Linked DNA regions of Arabidopsis thaliana. The protein of the gene in region 4 binds, or shares a complex with, the protein of the main gene of each other region. Each region holds a gene or a part of one and is shown on either strand. Other genes may lie near its edges.

What was found.
Region 1: AT3G18500 (region 4) and AT1G31500 share a complex: the UniProt entries of both Arabidopsis thaliana proteins name them as parts of the CCR4-NOT complex.
Region 2: AT3G18500 (region 4) and AT2G32070 share a complex: the UniProt entries of both Arabidopsis thaliana proteins name them as parts of the CCR4-NOT complex.
Region 3: AT3G18500 (region 4) and AT1G61470 share a complex: the UniProt entries of both Arabidopsis thaliana proteins name them as parts of the CCR4-NOT complex.

What each region holds. Positions count from the first base shown.
Region 1 is NC_003070.9:11,273,102-11,278,408, forward strand, and holds AT1G31500 (DNAse I-like superfamily protein), read right to left. Parts: upstream 3,528-5,307; 5' UTR 3,434-3,527; coding exon 3,378-3,433; exon of another isoform or gene 3,374-3,377; intron 3,081-3,373; coding exon 2,816-3,080; intron 2,629-2,815; coding exon 2,579-2,628; intron 2,251-2,578; coding exon 2,181-2,250; intron 1,965-2,180; coding exon 1,840-1,964; intron 1,753-1,839; coding exon 1,640-1,752; intron 1,496-1,639; coding exon 1,360-1,495; intron 1,283-1,359; coding exon 1,135-1,282; coding exon of another isoform or gene 1,129-1,134; exon of another isoform or gene 1,026-1,128; coding exon 720-1,025; 3' UTR 501-719; downstream 1-500. Other genes in the region: AT1G31510 (F-box associated ubiquitination effector family protein), read left to right, coding at 4,316-5,003, 5,048-5,107, 5,180-5,307. UniProt on the Arabidopsis thaliana protein: Acts as a catalytic component of the CCR4-NOT core complex, which in the nucleus seems to be a general transcription factor, and in the cytoplasm the major mRNA deadenylase involved in mRNA turnover.
Region 2 is NC_003071.7:13,639,911-13,643,834, forward strand, and holds AT2G32070 (Polynucleotidyl transferase, ribonuclease H-like superfamily protein), read right to left. Parts: upstream 2,151-3,924; 5' UTR 1,968-2,150; intron 1,834-1,967; 5' UTR 1,747-1,833; coding exon 919-1,746; 3' UTR 684-918; downstream 1-683. Other genes in the region: AT2G32060 (Ribosomal protein L7Ae/L30e/S12e/Gadd45 family protein), read right to left, coding at 187-194; PUR ALPHA-1 (purin-rich alpha 1), read right to left, coding at 2,806-2,958, 3,048-3,281, 3,357-3,500, 3,685-3,732, 3,815-3,924. UniProt on the Arabidopsis thaliana protein: Ubiquitous transcription factor required for a diverse set of processes. It is a component of the CCR4 complex involved in the control of gene expression.
Region 3 is NC_003070.9:22,676,309-22,679,952, reverse strand, and holds AT1G61470 (Polynucleotidyl transferase, ribonuclease H-like superfamily protein), read right to left. Parts: upstream 1,862-3,644; 5' UTR 1,769-1,861; coding exon 932-1,768; 3' UTR 651-931; downstream 1-650. Other genes in the region: AT1G61475 (ATP binding / protein kinase), read left to right, coding at 1-183; AT1G61460 (G-type lectin S-receptor-like Serine/Threonine-kinase), read left to right, coding at 2,765-3,408, 3,505-3,644. UniProt on the Arabidopsis thaliana protein: Ubiquitous transcription factor required for a diverse set of processes. It is a component of the CCR4 complex involved in the control of gene expression.
Region 4 is NC_003074.8:6,350,641-6,356,153, reverse strand, and holds AT3G18500 (DNAse I-like superfamily protein), read right to left. Parts: upstream 3,683-5,513; 5' UTR 3,611-3,682; coding exon 3,298-3,610; intron 3,124-3,297; coding exon 2,954-3,123; intron 2,884-2,953; coding exon 2,818-2,883; intron 2,653-2,817; coding exon 2,600-2,652; intron 2,507-2,599; coding exon 2,425-2,506; intron 2,338-2,424; coding exon 2,248-2,337; intron 1,952-2,247; coding exon 1,859-1,951; intron 1,776-1,858; coding exon 1,743-1,775; intron 1,656-1,742; coding exon 1,549-1,655; intron 1,458-1,548; coding exon 1,346-1,457; intron 1,269-1,345; coding exon 1,183-1,268; intron 1,087-1,182; coding exon 1,002-1,086; intron 917-1,001; coding exon 857-916; 3' UTR 708-856; downstream 1-707. Other genes in the region: AT3G18510 (ATP-dependent helicase/nuclease subunit), read right to left, coding at 170-265, 336-443. UniProt on the Arabidopsis thaliana protein: Acts as a catalytic component of the CCR4-NOT core complex, which in the nucleus seems to be a general transcription factor, and in the cytoplasm the major mRNA deadenylase involved in mRNA turnover.

The DNA.
Region 1 (5,307 bases), on a different chromosome or scaffold from region 4:
AGGTTCTCAAGGGAAGCTTATGCTAAATGATATTTATTTATAAGAACATATAATAAGCATAGAAAATATAATATTTTTGTTCGGTTGTTTGTGATTATATATTCAAAGGAATGATCACTATCCGTTTTGAAAAAATCTTATGTTTTTGGAACATAACATTACATCACTGTCATTTTGGATAAAAGTTTGAAGAGTACGACTTTATTCAATAACAATGGTTCAAATTATCGGTGAAAGGTGAGACTGTAAAAGAATATTCGTTCGTACTCAAAATTATGATTTATTATTATAAGTTGGTGCGATAGTACAAACTTTAGTGGTTGATAGATAAAACAGATCAATGCTTGACCTAATTTTGTTGCAACTTTATTCAACAAATTGAAACGAGATCATCATATGATATTAACATGTCATTTCACTAAATCTTCTATTGTTTTTGTCTAGTTGACTACAGAATAATAGAACCAATTCTTATGTTATTTTATGAGTGCAATAAACAAGACACATTAAACAATTTCTTCTCAAGAAAATTCAAATATTCTCAGTAATTCAATGCACACAACGAAAATTTCGAGTTTATTGAGACAAAAATGATCCAAGTCCTTTAATACTTTGTGTTGTGTGTGTATGATTCACTGCTTCATGATTTCTACAAGAACCATATTCAAATGCTGAAACAATGGAGTTATGCGACAAAACTTTCTAAAGAACGAAACTTCCTATTCCCGACGAATCTCAAACTCAGCTCCTATAGGTAAATGATCACTCGGGTGATGATGATTCGGTAAGAAACCGACAACATCTGGAGAATCCGGCTCAGGTAGTTGAAGGATACTCACAGGTTTAATGAAGTCTGAAGGAGAGATGAAGATGTAGTCAAGTGTGTTTGTGAAGCCAGGAGTGCAATTTGTGAACTTAGGCTCTCCTCTTGTGACTTCATAGACACTAGACAGAGGAACTGGAGCTTCTTCTTCTTCTATGGTCTCTGTGGGTTTAGCATTACCCGATACTAGGTAACTATAAACCTGGAAAACGACGACAAGTATCAGGATTTTACCACCGTAAACCCAATCTTTTGATTTTGCAAATAGATTGAACAATTAGGGAAACTCAATGTAAGAAACTGAATCAAACCATATCCCCAGGAATTGAATTGAAGTCGCCAGCTAGTAGCAATGAAGGTGTGCACTCAAATTCATCTGATATTAGTGTTTTGAACTGAGCTAGTCGTGACAGTAGATACTTGGCTTGAGCAAGCTTGACATCAGCCAATTCAGGGTCCCTAGAGATAAGTAAACATGAGATGAAAGTTTAAAGGGTGGTAAAAGATAATCTTCAATCGGTGACAAGTATTTTTACCAGTAAAGATGTGTGTTTGCCACGATAACGATATGCTGAAACGGCTTGTTGATCCTAAAAGCAGCCATTATTCCAACGCAATCACGTTTTAGTCTCACTAGTGGATCATTAAGGTCACGACTGTCTTTTCGAGAATCTTTTGTTTGGGGCAGATTTGTGGAAACATGTGAAGAGAACATAGATAAAAGTTAGTAATGATGTTGAGATATAAAGAAACAGCACAAAGTATTTGCTTTCTTTTCCTCCAAAAGGACAAATTTATCTTTCGCTTTCTCATCACCTTTTCCTTCGTTGGATGTCTCAATCTTCTGTTCGCTGCAGGAAACACTATCTGCTTTTATTGAGTCCACAAGATCATTATATTCGATCCGTTCCTTTGTGACTAACTCTGCACTAAATCAAAAGAAGAGTGTTGTTTCAATCAGATTGATGTTTTTGCATTAAGTTAACGTCTTGTCAGGCTTAATGTTTTTATCATACCAGCTTGGCTTGTAGAAGATTGCACAACCATCACGCTTCCTCTGGCCGGTTCTCTGAATATAAATCCCAGAATATCCCAGAGAGTCCATGTTATTTCTGTAAAAGCTATCGTACTCATCTACTTCCTGCGAGCATTGCAACTATATAACTAACAAGTGGAGACACCCTTTTGTTAAACACAATTCAAAGGCCCTATGAACAAACAACACTAACATTTTTACAGGCCTGAGCTTGTCTAATGGATTGAACAAAAGAGAAGAATGAATTTTGTGTTTCATACGAAAAGGGTATCTCAATACTACCTAAACACAAAAGAAGAAGTTTTCACAAGAATAAAGTACCTGCAGACAAAAGAAATCAGCCTGGAGATTTTTGAGAACGCTGAGAATTGCATGTGAACGAGCTTTCCATCTGCAACACAAGAAAAGGAAGACCAAGTCACATTTACTACAAAACCATAACCCTTTAAGAAGCACCATTCCCTAATATTTTAACAAAGTTAATATATCGCTAAATCCAAAGTACATATTGGGTAATGGATAATTAACGTGGGTAAGACCAAACACAATATTGCCTGCTTATAGCTAAGTTCCTAAACATTCATAGAATCCATTGTTGTTTTCTGAAGCAAATCTTGACTATACTCCAGGCCATTGATTACACAACTCACAGAAAGAACTCTTGACTAGTATAAGTAAATTTGATCTCGAAACTGAGAAATGTAGAGAAAAATAATTACTTGAGACAGGCAGGTGGAGAGTGTGGGAGAAGTGCACTCTTCACATAAACCTACAAGAAATATAAAGCTCAAATAGATAAGAAACTCAACAAAGGAAAGAGCTAAAAGAACTGTCTGTATCTATAAATCAAGCTCAGAAATTCGTAAGATCGTTTAAAACTACAAAATTCGTCCAAATATTAAGCTACAAAATATCACAAAGCATATGAGAGATTAAAAAGCTTGATTATTTCTTACCTGAGCTAATATGTTATATGAAACAAGACGGAATCTGATACCTGAAAACACAAAATTCTCATTACTAGTACCAATTCTACTTAAACTTATACAGTTATATAAAGCCACAAGCTTTGATAAGTAAAGAGGAATAGCAAAAAAACCATCGGATTTATTTCTTGAACCAATATCAACTCCTTCAACAGATTCAAATTTGCGAACTTTTGGTTCAATTGCAGGATTCGTACTCATTCTTCTCGAAATAACTTTCCTGCAGACACGAGAGCTGTTGAATCAAAGGGTCAGGAAAAAAAACAATCCTTGAACATCAATATTTAGGTCAAAATTAAGAAGCTGATTTAATTCCCCATAAAATTTCAATTACAGCCCAGATAAATTCGAGATTCTAGAGGATTGGTTCCAATATAAAGATGAGAAATTTCTAAACAAATTGTATTCCTCAACGAAATTGCCCAATGACAATGAACAGAGACGATCAATTTAGTTGCATTACTAAATACGAAACTTGAGATTACAGAAAATGAAACTGTATATTGATTGATACAGAAACGAAGAAACCCACCTGGGAAGAAGAAGATTCGGACGAGGAAGATGATGCAGAGTTGTAGAACTAAACATCTATAGTGACAACAATTGACTTAACCCAATTTGGCTTTAGATTGAAGAAACTCTTGTGGGTTTTCAAATAAAATAGTGAAGAATTCGATAATTATCATTTGCTCCCTGTCTTTATATTAAAGTAGTTAGTGAGCCTTCATTTTATTTATTGGAACTTTAGAACCAAAAATAGGTCATTAGTAGGTTCATTTACTTTCCAACAAATAAAAATCCAATCGAAATCAACGTCAAAATCCAAAACCCAAAATTTTCAAAAATTCCCAAAGCACCTATATATATAACTATATAAGTTAGTATGAGTTTCTAAATCATTTACTGTCAGATATTTAGTCTATAAATGGTTGTGTACCAGACTAAAATCTAATTAATCGATATTTAACTAATTCACCATTACGGACCAATATACACTATTGCGAATTAAAAATTTCCATACTAACACTCACTTGAGCATAAAACTTTATAAGATGAGAAATTATAGATATATTTCCCAAAAAGCTTCACACCAATATTAATATAACAAGGGGATTGACGTAAATGACACTAAAAAACTTTATTATTCCAAAAAATGACACCTTTTTTTTGAAATTTCCAAAATAGCATATAAAATTTTTAATCCTCTATAAATTAATTAAATAATAAAGTTTTTTTTATTACTATTTGTATCAATCCCCCAAATAAAAATGAGAGCAAACATTAATCTAATATTAAATTGAATCAAAAAAGTTTTTAATAATAAAAATATATACCCTAAATTGAAAATAACAAACCCAAATATAATACTACAAACTAATTTGGTAAAGGACATACTACAAACTAATTTGGTAGAGGACATGCAAGCAATGGAAAACACTAATCACAGAACCGATATTCGTCAACAAGCACATGTCTCACATGCATGGTCTTGAACCGATATTCACAGTCTTCAATTACGTTCCGGCCACAGTTTCTCCATTGTGCTCAACAATTTCTTGTATCGGTATGGATTTCAACAACAAACCTAGTTTAAATTTTCAGGTTTTTAAACCGCTTTCATCTTCGGATTTATTGGAGCACAACATGTTTCATTGTGATGGTCTATTGCTAATGGTCATGGGAACCAAAATTTTAGTTTCCAATCCGTTGTTGAAAGAAGCAAGATGGATCAAATGTGGCTATAGCTTTGAGTTTGACCATTCCATCGATGCATATGGTCTTGGATACATTAGTAACGAGTCACCAAGTGGTTGTAATGATTACAAAATGGTTAGGTTTCGGTGTCCTAATAATTTAAGTGTTGAAATCTACGATTTCAAATCTGATTGTTGGAAGGTTGTTGTTGTTGATAAAACCTTCCATGGGTTCTTTCGACTACCATTGTCAAGTGTGTGTATAGGAGGAACTCCTTATTGGATAGGTTATAATATCTACGGTACCGTTTCGATACAAAGTTTCGATTTCTCAAAAGAGAGATTTGAGACCTTGTTCGAGTCTCTTCATCACTCATCCATCGGGATCCAGTGGAAAGATTCTCTTTCTTTAGGGATTTTCCGTGGAGATCATCTTTCTTTGTTACGTGAACCGCACTTAGCAGGTAAGATATACTGATGAAGAAGCATTGGAGTAGGTTAATGACAGTTTCTATAGCTCAACTTCCCAAGTTTCCAATATATCCAAGTCACTTCATTGAGAACAATGGTAAGATTCTGCTATATATTCGTCACTTTGTAACTAGGTCAATTAGCATCTACGTTGTGGGAGAGACATAAGAATGCCCGAAAGTTGAATGTTACTCTTCTATGGAGTCTTCAATTGGTGGTCCTGGTTGCTACTATATATGTCCCAAGCTTACTTCCGGTTCCAGGCTTTTCGAGGTAATTAAGAGGAAGAAGAATAAG
Region 2 (3,924 bases), on a different chromosome or scaffold from region 4:
TAAATCATGTAATCAATGGCCAACTAGAAAGTTTGGAGCTTGAGGCACACATAGAATAAGCCAATCAAAGTAATAACATCTATCGACCTAAAACTAAAACTCTAAACCATAATGTATCAACCATTGATTCAGTATATTAAGAATGGAGTAAGAATCCAATATAGCTGCATCTTAAGAGAAACTTACCCTGACATATTGAATCTTTGAGCTGGTTTTCCGAACGAAGAGAAGCAAAGGTCTTTTCCAAATCTGCCAAGGAAATGAAGCAAATCAGTCTCAATAAATACATAAATCGAAATTACACAACCAAATCGGAGGAAGATGAACAAAGTAAGACAATCACATACATGAACACAGATCAATTTTCAGTGAGGAACTACGCAAAAGTGAGTAAGAGACTAACCTTAAAGAGAGAGAGGCTGCAACGAAGAGCAAAAAATGAGTAGCGAAGTTATATATTAGGGTTTTACGAACCCTGAATTATACGATTTTAACAGATTTGTCACGAACCTGGGCTCTACTTTAATGGGCTTTACTGGGCCATTCCTTCAATATCTGGGTCCTTTTAAAAAACGCTGTCGTTTGTTTAATCTTTCCCAATTTTCATCTTTAATGTTTAAACACTTCACAGAATCCACAATTTATGTTGTCCTTTAAGTCTTTTAACACATTGTGAAATTTTATTAATAGGCCAAATACGTATACCTTTGATAATATCTTTAAGATATGATGAAAAAGGACATATATCAAACTTTTTTTTTCATAAATTAAGTGAGATGCTATCTTTAAACAAGTAAGAGAGCACAATACCAAACCAAAATCAGAGTTTAGTTCTTGTGATCATACACTTCTTAAAACAACCTATGATGTAATAATCTAAAATAAATAACATAACCTGTTTAAAACTTTAAGCTTTTATCAATGAACAATCTGACCATTCTCAACACCTAAACCATACAAAACACCAGAATACTTCTCCATTGAACCAATGAAGAAATTCTCCTGCAGCTTCCTGAATGTACACGACGTTAACAAGCTATCCGATCCGGCCTGGTGACAAATCCCAACTCTCTCAACATCAAGCAGCTCCGCCAATTTATTCAGACCTCCATGAAGACTATTACAGAACTTCATCAAGTGTTTGATATCATAAACCCTCGGGAAATACACACTGATCATCTCGAAGAACCCTGTTTGCGTCTCGGGAAGATTCTGACAAGTCAATAGCTTCAACAAGTAACCGAAATCGTATCCGCTGTGGAATGTAACCCAATGAACGTTTTCATTCAACACAATCCCTGAAGACATCAAAAGCTCAGCGAACCGCTTCGAATCGATACCGAATTCGTTGTTTTTCACGAAATCGATGCCTGATTGACGAAGAAGCTCGATCGAATCGGTAGCGTAGATATCGGATTCGAGGTCGAATTCGCGGAAATTGAACTGCCAGATGCAATACTTGTTGTCTGTTCCACAAGTTGGGAGGTTACCTTTCTCATCAGAGAAAGTGAGTCCAAGCTGAATCATCTTGAGTATGTTGACGTTTGTTTTGAGAGTTTCGTAGTGGTACTCTGTGTTGGTTTTGAATGTTCCCACTGGTCTACACACGATTCCTGGGAACTCTGTGTCCATCGCTACGAATGGGAAATCGTCTACGACTTCTCGAATCAGAGCCATCTCTGATTCGAGATTGTCGTTCCATACTTCACGGATTTGAATCGAATCGTCTTTTAGAAACAGTGACATGGTGATGATAACGATGATGATGAATTCGAGTAAATAAGTTAAGGAGCATCTGGATCTAGAGCAAGATCCGATCTGGTTTCATCAGATCTGCAATAGATTTAACACAAAACAAATGAATCACTTACAAAAACCAAAACCTTCTGATTTTACATAAATCAATGAAAACAGAGAAACTCGACAGATACATAGACAAATACTAAGAGAGACAGCTGGATTCGAACCTTGTAATGAAGCGAAGTAAGAAAGATGTTTCTCGAGAAGACGGCGAGTTGTTCAGGCTAGGGTTTCAGAGGATGTGGTGGTTTATTAGAGAGGAGGTTATAAATCACCGACAGATTATTTTTTATTTTTTTCTCTCTCTCGGACTGTGCCCAAAGTTGCTCCTTTTTTTAGGGTTTTTGTTTTTTATTTACAAACGCTGTTTTTTTATCTTCTCCCTTGTTTTATACGCAACGTTGATTTCTTTTTCTTTTTTTTTTATTATTGAGGCATTTTCGATTAACCTAAAAATCGAAATTTTTGTCTAACCAAAGCATGCTTAGGACAGTATATACAATTCGCAACTGCTCTTAGAACCTCTGGTAGTAGAACTAAATCATTTTCAGACAAAACCAAAAAGAATTCGTAACTCATGTATAGAACTTACACTTCATCTTTTATTCCAACAGGCATTAGCCCAAACATATAAACCCCAATATTCTTTTACAATTGAAATGCATCAAGCCGTCAACAGATATACACCCAATGACCCAAACTGAACAAAAACAAAAAAAGTTAAAACAGAACAGAAGCAAATGAGGGAGGGAGGGAGAGAGAGAGAGAGAGAGAGAGATACACATGGTGGATGATTTTCAGCTTATTCCCAGTTGCAGACTCCAAAGTTTGTTTTATCTACTATTAAGGCAAATGATGATCCTGCTGAATTATTTTTAGAAGATGTGAAGGGGCGAGAGATATTACGTGAAACTATTGCACACCGCGATCAGGCAGTCGACTTGAAGTTGCCAGATTCAAATGGTTAGAGGATTGAAAATTTCCATCCTCTAAGAGAATCAATACTTATCTCTGAGGAGGATCAACTGTCCTGACATTTGCACCTGTCATACCTTCAATTTTATCTTTGGTGATCTCCACAAAGTGACCAATTACTTCGTGAAACTGCTTAAGACCCGATAACGGTAGAATGATGGAAGACCTGTCAGAACCTGCCACCTATATTGAGAAATGCTTTAATGTTAAAACCATGGTAAATACAAGCTCTCAAGAGATAAGCCAGCAAAAGATTGTTCTTCCAAGATTACCTCAGATATCCTTAAGAAATGGCCCCTGTTATTGTTCCCAAGATCAAAGAAGAACCGTTTCTGGTCAGCTCTGATTACTTTAGAAACACCAGTCATTCCGGTTTCTTCCTGGCCTGGCGAGTCAATTGTTCGATCCACATTATGTTCTGAAGAAGATGGCTGCTGACTACCATGTCCAGGTATAAAACCAGCTCCAACATCATCAACCAAGTGTTCCTGTCCATCAGAAGGTTTCTGTTTCCAAAACGAAGATACAATGAGACCAGAGAACTTAGTTAAAGGCTTTTCAATCAAAGGAGACGATAATACCACCTGATTTGGCATCACAAAAAGTCCTGATGCTTCATGTATCTCAGCCAATATATTCCTGAAAGCTGCCCATCCTTCATCAGGAGAGCTTCCAGCTGGAACAATAATGGTACTTCGATTTCTACTAACCGATGCTTCTGACACCTAACACCACACCAAAACCCATCAGAACATTCCTACAACTTCTGATACCTCAGGATAATTAGTCACATAACCAAAATGAAAAGAACATTCCTAACCATAAGTCTAGTACTCCCTAAATCTTCAATTCACATATACCAAAGAAAAAAAACTTCAGATTCATTAAGTAAAACAGAAAAATTTCTACCTTCAAGAAGCGTCCTCTTCTGTTCTCACCGATATCGAAGTAAAACACCTGAATAAAGCAACAACAGCAGAAATTAAAGAGAGTGGAAAAGTCAACGATCGCCAGAAGAGAGTGATGATAAAGTTGAAACCTTGGAATCAAGCTGCAATTCTTTGCTAAAAAGCTCGTGTTCCTCAGAATTGACATAGTAGTTGAAGAGATCAAGGAACCAAGAGATGCCGGAGGAAGGAACAATGATGG
Region 3 (3,644 bases), on a different chromosome or scaffold from region 4:
GTCCAACACCAACCTGCAGACAGACCAAACACACTTGAATTGCTGTCCATGCTCACCACAACATCAGATCTTCCACCACCAAAACAACCCACATTTGTAGTGAACACGGTAGTTGATGAATCACCGTCTAAGAGGTTGATCACTGTCAATGAGATGACCCATTCTATGATCCTAGGGCGGTAAGAGATTATGTGATGAAACCTGTAGAGTGAATGTGTGTTTGATTGTTCACGAAAGGAATCAGTTTTCGAATGTATATAACTTAACCTTTCATGCTTTTTGTAAAAGATTTTTCACTTAAGTAAATAGAGAAAATTACTATAGATGAGCTTCCAATTTGGTTGACCAATGATTTACTATAGAGTTTGCATTTCCAGTTGTTCTCCAGCAGAATTGTCTAATCTTGTGAGGAGCTTATCTGCAGAGCCAAATGAGCTCATAATTTTGGGTTTCCATTGGTTAGATACTATCATATCCTCATAGTATAAAAGTAGAATTAGTCAATGCCTTAAATCTAAATAAGGGAGCCATGATTGAATTTGCACGTATTAAAAGTGAAGAAGAAACTCAAGTCCACAGGAGAAAAGTGTGACACTCCAACCAAAACAACTCATAATTGGTACTAACAAAATATTTCACATAGATTCCAAATTTTGATTAGTGTATAGCGAAAAAGGAAAAAACTGGGCTTGTTACATATCTTCAGCTCAATTCGGAGGAAACTGATAGATAGTAATTCCAAGACAAAGATGTTACATGAGAGGCTTTTGAGTAGATTCTAACTTTAGATTCATTAAAGTATTTACTAAAGAGCAATAGTCATAATATTGAGAGAATTGTTTTGATGGACAATAAAAGCTGAAAGTTAAATCCTAAGCATATAAAGAAAGAATTTGCATACTAGCAACAAGACATGCTAAACATTGAGGGATCACAATACGTAGTTCCTTCCTTGGACCGGTATCGGGATGTAACATCTAGTCATCATAAGCTGTTGCTGATGCTGCTGCTGCTCTAGTTGATATTGCTGATCATCAGCTCTTCTTCCAGTACTCTCCTTTCTACTATTGACCAAATCGAAAATCAACTTAGTGAAGACACGAGCCGTCAATTCGCTGTCTGATCCAGCGTGATGAGCTTTTCCAACACGCCTCATCTGCAACACATCCGCTATTCTCTGTAGTCCGAAACGGCTACTTAGTCCGCTGCATAATCCAGCCATTTTCTTCACATCATAAACAAACCTTCCCAAAAGCTGCTGGACGGTTTCATCAAACTCTTTCGAAGTCTCGGGTAATGGTTTTCTAGTTAAACCTTTAAGTAGATAAGCTTTGTCGTAAGAGCCTTGAAAAGTCACCCATCTCATTTTTCCATGTTTCTCATTGAGAATCTGAGAAAACTCCATGAAGAACTCTTCGATTCCAATACCTTCTTCTCTGATCTTATCCAGATCCAAACCATTGTTTTTTAAAAACGCTATAGATTTATCATTTTTCAAGCTCTTAGATTCGTTGAAATCTGACAAGTTGATCTCCCAGGTTTTAGTGATTCCTTTGCCGAATAGCGTTAACCCTAACTGGATGAGATGGGTGTTGTCCACATTGAATTTCATGTCTCTATAACGAATTTCATCACTTGCGTCCATGGGAGTCTCCTTTAAGCATCCGGGAAACTCTGTGTCGATAGCGATGGAATTACAATGTTTCAAACAATCTCTTATCGAATTCATCTCTGCTTGCTTGTTCCATCTCCAAACTTCACCGCTCATCTCGAACGAAACTAAGAAACTGTTTGTTTATCTGAAAGAGAAAGTGAGATAACAAATGAATTTTATTTGGTTGGCGTTATATTATTAGAGAATTTATAGGGATTAGATTAAGACACCGACTTCAGTTTCCTTATTTTTAGGATACTATAAAGTTTTCATTTTTTTTCCATCAAAAGTTCGTGTTGACTTTTTTGACTCCTAATTCTTGTTAAACACGAGTTTTCAATTTTTCTCTTAAAATTCAAAAACAAAAAAACGCGTGGTTCCGAAGCGGTTTTCAATTTTTAACACTAAACCGAATTAAATTCCTTGCCCGAACCGAATTAAATTCTAATTTCTCTCTCAAAACTCAAAAGCCTTGTTTCCGAAGCGGTTTACGATTTCAACGCTAAACCGAATTAAATTCCTATTACAAATTAAAGTCTAATTTTCCATCCCGAAATACACGAAATTGACAAAAGACTTTATTTTAAGTCTTCCCGGAAGGTTCTTCTCTGGGTTAGTGGCTTGACGACACAAGTCAAGCAACCTGTCATACACTGACACAAGTCAATCTTGACTGTTGAATTATTCGGCTGCTTTTGGATAGTGACAGTTAAGCCCATATGGTTGGAGTACGAATCAATCGATTGGGGTCATTAAGGTCTTCAAGACATCACCGAAGCTCTGACTTTTTGTTATGCACTGCAAGTGTTCGAGGAAATGCCTAAACGAGATAATTCATAGTCTGCAGTTCAAGAAAAATATAGGTTCTTCTGGGCCTAACAAGCTAGTAAGGACTGGAACAATGAAAACGTTGCGTATCTGATACGGTAATGACTTCTTCGTGCCAATGTATCTATCATGTATTTATTAAATAATGCATATTTTTGGAAAATAAGTAAAGTAGTTCTGACAAGACACAGTGTTTTTTTTTTCCCCGGCTCTCTTGCTTCATACACACTAATCCAAAAAAGATAGTTATTGGAGAAAGAAAAAAACAAACAAACGGGGACGATGAGGATCACGTTCTTTGCTTCTTTGCTCTTATTTACCAATACCATCTTTATAAGTTTTAGCTTTGCAATTGCAGGGATAAACAAAGAGAGTCCTTTGTCAATAGGACAAACTCTCAGCTCCTCTAATGGAGTTTATGAATTGGGTTTCTTCAGTTTTAATAACTCGGAAAATCATTATCTTGGAATCTGGTTCAAGGGAATCATTCCCCGGGTGGTTGTGTGGGTGGCCAATAGAGAAAATCCTGTTACAGATTCCACAGCAAATCTCGCTATCAGCAGCAACGCAAGTCTTCTGTTATATAATGGAAAACATGGCGTTGCATGGTCCAGTGGTGAAACTCTTGCTTCTAACGGGTCTCGTGCAGAGCTTTCAGACACCGGAAATCTTATTGTCATAGACAATTTTTCGGGAAGAACTCTTTGGCAAAGCTTTGACCATCTTGGTGATACTATGCTTCCTTTCTCAGCTCTGATGTATAACCTCGCCACTGGCGAGAAGCAGGTCTTGACTTCTTGGAAAAGTTACACTAATCCAGCGGTTGGTGACTTTGTGCTTCAGATTACAACGCAAGTGCCAACACAAGCTTTAACTATGAGAGGCTCGAAGCCTTATTGGAGAAGCGGTCCATGGGCTAAAACAAGGTTCACGGGGGTACCACTAATGGATGATTCATTTACAAATCCATTAAGCCTTTAGCAAGATGCAAACGGGTCAGGATCCCTTACTTATTTAAACAGAAACTTCAAACTTCCACGTATAGTGATAACATCGAAGGGTTCACTGGAGATTTCTAGGCATAGTGGGACTGATTGGGTATTGAACTTTGTGGCTCCAGCGCACTCATGTGATTATTACGGTGTATGTGGACCTTTTGGGA
Region 4 (5,513 bases):
GGTCCACCATCATGGTATATAGTTATTAAACCAAAGACAAATGAAACATTTTCATAATGCCAGACCAAACCAAACCGAAAAATACATGAGAGAAAAAAAGTCAAAACAGCATCAAACATCTGTTGGGCATTTCATCGAACACTTTGAAGGCATGCTACCAAGAAATAAGCTAAACAGATTCTTCATTGATCTGAATAAGATTTTCTTCTTCTTGTCTCTTCTGCATATCCTTCTCGTATTGATTCAACGCTTCCTCCATCCTCATCTGCGTAAAACCCAACAGTCTAAGGTCGAGCACAAGCTTTCTCATAGGAAGACAGAGAGAAGAAACAGACCTTGTAGCTAACTTCGATGCGATGCATTACGTAGAATCCGAGGGCCCCGCCGAGAAGTGTTCCAGCTATGATCCGTGCGTAACCCCATGTCATTGAGCTCAACGCCATTAATTTCCTCACTTTCTCTTGTCTCTTCTTCCTTCGATTCCAACTTTACAGCTCTCAATCTCTTTAGAATTCCTTTTCATTTTACCGGAACCAAGATTAGAACCGTACCAATTGGTTCAATTCTTTCTTTTTGGTACATTTAAACCAAGCTTATGTCCGCTTCGGTTTAGATCCAGAATCAAGTAAACTGGTTCTCTCACTTTAAATTACGTTCGAAGAAGTCGATTTAATATCCTAGTGACCCAATACGCACACAAGATTGAAGCTTCTGATCGTCTCAATTTTTATTTATTTATCGAGAAGTCGGTTTGATATAGAACCATGATCAGGTAATTTCGGTACGCTTATACATTTAATAAAAACACATTTATAACGGTTCGGTTCAAAGAAAACTAAGCTGGCACTAGATGCCTTTAACCGTCCGGTTCAAAGACAAATTCAGAAACAAGAGCCAAGTGATCGCTTCCCAATTCCTGCAAACCAAAGACGAATAAGGCTTTAAGCATCAATCATAGAAATGACCTCACCAAATCTAAACTGTTTGATAGAAAGACATACTTGACAAGGAAGGCCTTTGGTTTTGCATAGAACATCAATAGGAAGTGTGTCAAGAACTCTTGCAGGTAAAAGACCATCAGAGTACCTTAACCAGACCACACATGTATTTCTAATTAGTTACTTCATCAGCCAAATATTAAATTTGTCCATTTGAGTTTTGGTTGTGTTTAGAATGTTTTACCAGAGATAATCAACCGTTCCGAGAAATTTCGAGTGATATGAGGTTGCTAGAGGTTCACCAACAGAGTCCCTGGTATTTGCTGAGCCCTGTTGTGTACCATGTTCATGAGCAAATTTAAGGTCTTGTCATATATAGACAGGGACATTAAAGCTTTGTTTGTTACCTTAACTGAGGCGTATGAGCTATTGAGTTTCAGAGGATGCGCAGCCCAGTACGAGTTCTCTTGCCCGGTTGCGACACGGATCTCTTCTTTTGTCCAAGAGCTACAAAAACTTCTACTAGTGTGTGAACACAATGGCTATTCCAGCAGGCAGTCACAAGACAACCATTCACAGAACTGATTAAATCTTCAAAAAACAATCTTACCTGAAAGTTATTGTATTACTGGATTTGCTACCAGTTTCAAGAACTTTGGTAGGACGACAATTTTTCTGGCCGGACAGCTCTTTTTTGTCATGTTCCATGACATTCAGCTGTAAGATAGAAGCATAATCCTATTTAAAGAAACTACAAGAGGACACAGTGTAGTTTGACTGAAGCAAAACTATGAATAGTCATACCTCAGAGGACGCCAAGAAGTTGTACAATGGACTCTACACGTAATAAGATAAACTCAAACAATGAATAAACAAATACACAAACCAAAGTGGAAGAGTTTATTTGAAAAGATACGTACCTTGGGAGTGCTATTGAAATCTCCGCATAGAACAATGGGAATGTCACCCCATTTCTTAGAGAGCAAGTGAGCCTTTGAGCAGAGTGAACGGACCTATCAGTCAAGAACAAGGCAAATCAGGAACTCAAGAAAAAACATAAGCCACGAATTCAATACGTTTTCATGAGCATTAGGACATATACTAATGAACATGTCATGACATATACTAGTAACTTAGACTTGTCTTAGATATTTAAACTAATGCTAGTAAACATCTCTTGACTGAGATTCAGTACAATTTCCTGAAGTCTTAAAGCCAAAGGTGAAAGGGCCAGATCAACATTTTGTAAACTTTCATGACAGTCAATTGCTCGTGTAGCGGATATACAAATTGAAATGTCGAGGCTTACCTGACCCAGCTTCACATCTCCTTGATTTGGATTATAAAGCACGTGAATGTTACCCAGCAGTATCTTTCTTGACTTATTAGACTTCCGGAGCTGACGGGAAACCCAAAAAAAAACTGGATCAGTCAAAGCATATACATGAAAAAAGAAGTTCGTAAAACATTCAAAAAAAATTTCTACCTCAAGAACAGCAAGCTGTGCAACATTATCCCGCATACCAAACTGGCTAAACTCAATGTTTTCCCTCTCCAAAACTCCAAACCTTTTGAAAACAAGATAAATCTTAAACAATGCTGAGTTGTAGTAGTCGTTTTTCTTCACACTAATACAGATTGAGTCAAACAATATGTGCTACCTGTCAGCCTTCCAAAACATTGCGCAACCATCGACGTTATCTCCAGTTCGCCGCTGCCATTGCAAAGCTTATATTTGTAGTCCTTCTATATAAACACAACTTTTGTTGAGGCTTCAGACGAAAAGGTAAATAAAACCAACCGACAAACCATGTCTTACATTTTACCCCATTAATCTTATAAGCATAAAATTTTTCATTGAACAAGGAAATACATCAACCTTATAGGAGCCAGCATATCCAGCTTTCTCCATCATACTGAATAGATCAAAATATTTATCTACTTCCTACAAAGGTCCACAAACAAAATCAACTTAACTATCTTAACACGATATAAAACAAGGTAAAGTTCATTACCTGCATAGAGATTATGTCTGGATTGAGACGAATGAGTTCTTCGCATATCAACCTTTTGCGGTAGCCCCACTTGAGGTAAGGAACAGACACATTGGAGTACAACTCTCTGTGATATGATGAATTTCCATCTCCCAATATGTTGTACGACACTACAGTGAATCTCTCTAAAGCTAATATTACATAGAGACACACTAGTAAGATCCAAAGGCATCCACAATTTCACAAGCTTCATGGACAAACAGTAACTCAAGCTATTACTAATATCTCTAATTTACTAAATCCTAACTAGTTCACAAATTCATAAGTAAGAGCAGAGTTTTTCCATAAGATCATTATTAAACTACCTTGAGAAACTGGAGTTGTATCTGAATCGATCCAATCACGAGCAATCTGAGAAGACGGTATTTGATCGGGATGTTGACGCCGGGGAAGAGGATTCTGCCATCTACGGCTGTAAGAGCGATTTGAAGATGATTCGGGATTTGAATCGGACGGTCCAGATGTGGAGGAGGAGCAACACACGAAAGAGGAACGGAAAGATAGAGACGATAAAGGACATTGATGGAATCCAGATGAAAGGTGACCACCGGAGGGTAAGATACGGTAAGCTTCGCTTGGCCGTGACCAAGAACAATCAACGCGATTCACACAACGCATTCGATTTTGTGGATGTTAGAGACGAAATTCAGAAATTTGGATGAAATCGAAAACCACACAAACCTCTTGGCGCCATACGGATAAATATCTTTTTTTTTTTCTTCCTTTGGTCAGAGAAAAAAAAATACCAAACCATGGGCCATGGGCCAATACTAGTATACTACACCAGGCCTTGTTTAGCTGAGATCCTGTTTTTTGTTATTCGGATTTTTTGTTTTAATGTCTATTGTTTTTTTTTGTGAGTTTGATTTCAATTTATGTCATTTTGTTTCTAATTTTAGTAGGATGTCAGTTTTTATTTTAGTCTAGTTTTATCATGTTAAGAACTTGGAGATGATATTTGATTTTGAGTTATGAGATTTTGTTTTTTCTTTCATCGTCCTTGTAATTTTTTTTTGTTTTTTCATATACTATGATATTATTTCTACTTTTATTGGAGTATCAATTATTTGATTTCAAATTTAGTGATAGTAGCTCAAAAAAAAAAAACCTTACACAAAAAAGTATATGTCTTTTTGTGTAAGGCGATTACTGATTACACACACAAAAAAAAAAATGTCTTCGTTTCTACCTTTTTTTTTGTTGCAATATTGCCTTTGACAAAGAAAAACTCTATGATTGCGTCTACATTATAATGTTCTTTAAACTTTACTATAAAATATCACTAACTAATCTTGAAATACAAATTAGTGAAGGCATATTGTTAAATATAAAAGTGTATGCGATTTAAAACATTACTGATTGAATTGCATAATCTCATTTTATGGAAAAAAAGTAAAGTAGGTATAAGAAAATGGATATAACAAGATTAAAAACAAAAGAGAAATAAATGACACGCAACAACCAAAGCCAAAAGGGTGCGTTACCATTAATTCAGGGAAAGCGAAATAAACCCAAATCTCTCTTCTAACGAAGTAACAACTCACCCACTTCTCACATTGATTCACTCCTTTCCAGTTTTTACATATAGCCTTCGTTCATCAATCACCTTAAGCAAATTGCAATCACAAAAAAAAAAAAGTACAGTACTTAGCAAAATTTTAAGTTTTTGTTATTTCCACGGCAACTTAGCAAATATGCACCACATATTGACATTAGCTAATATACAACACATGTTTTTTTAGAAATGTACAAGCATTAACAAATATCCAACACAAAATGACATGATCGTAGATGATTAAGATAATTCGATCCCTATAACTAATAGTTTCCAAAACTTCTGCTGACTTTTCTCTCGACAGCGATGGTAAGAAGAAGGTACAAAGTTTTGAAGCCCGAATATAACAAAAGGACAGAAAGCTTTTAGTTTTCTAGATAAGATCTTAGCTTTGGTCACGTAAAAAAAATTAAAAGTGAATTGGTTAACAATATAGGAGTACTTTGTATCCAAAGGTCATTGCAATAAATAAACACTTAAGTACTCTGTAGTCACACATCTCTAGGAGCTTAATATTGGATAATCGCTTGTAGACTTGTATTAAAATATTTAGTAGGTCAAATCCCTATCTTCTACAGTTTCTACTCTCGTCCGTACAGACTACAGACACTATGCTATAGTTTTGTGTTGAATTCTACAAAGTACAAATTCTTCTTTCGGTGCCAATAACAAATAAACACAATTCTCAAATTACATTTGTCTAAATTTTTATTTGATTCGGTATAAATGTAACGCTATGTTGGGAATCATATGATAAATCCAGATTAAGACTTCTTATTTAATTTATTTTTGTATATATAAAATATAATATCCAACCATAAAGTTTTTTTACCGATCGATGATAATGTGAATCCAAATATTTTAACAGGATGATAAATAATTGATGTGGCTTTTATAACCGCAGCAATTCTGGCGTGACTCTCTCCGCAGCATTTATTTTTCTCTCTATAAATTAAAAACATTACT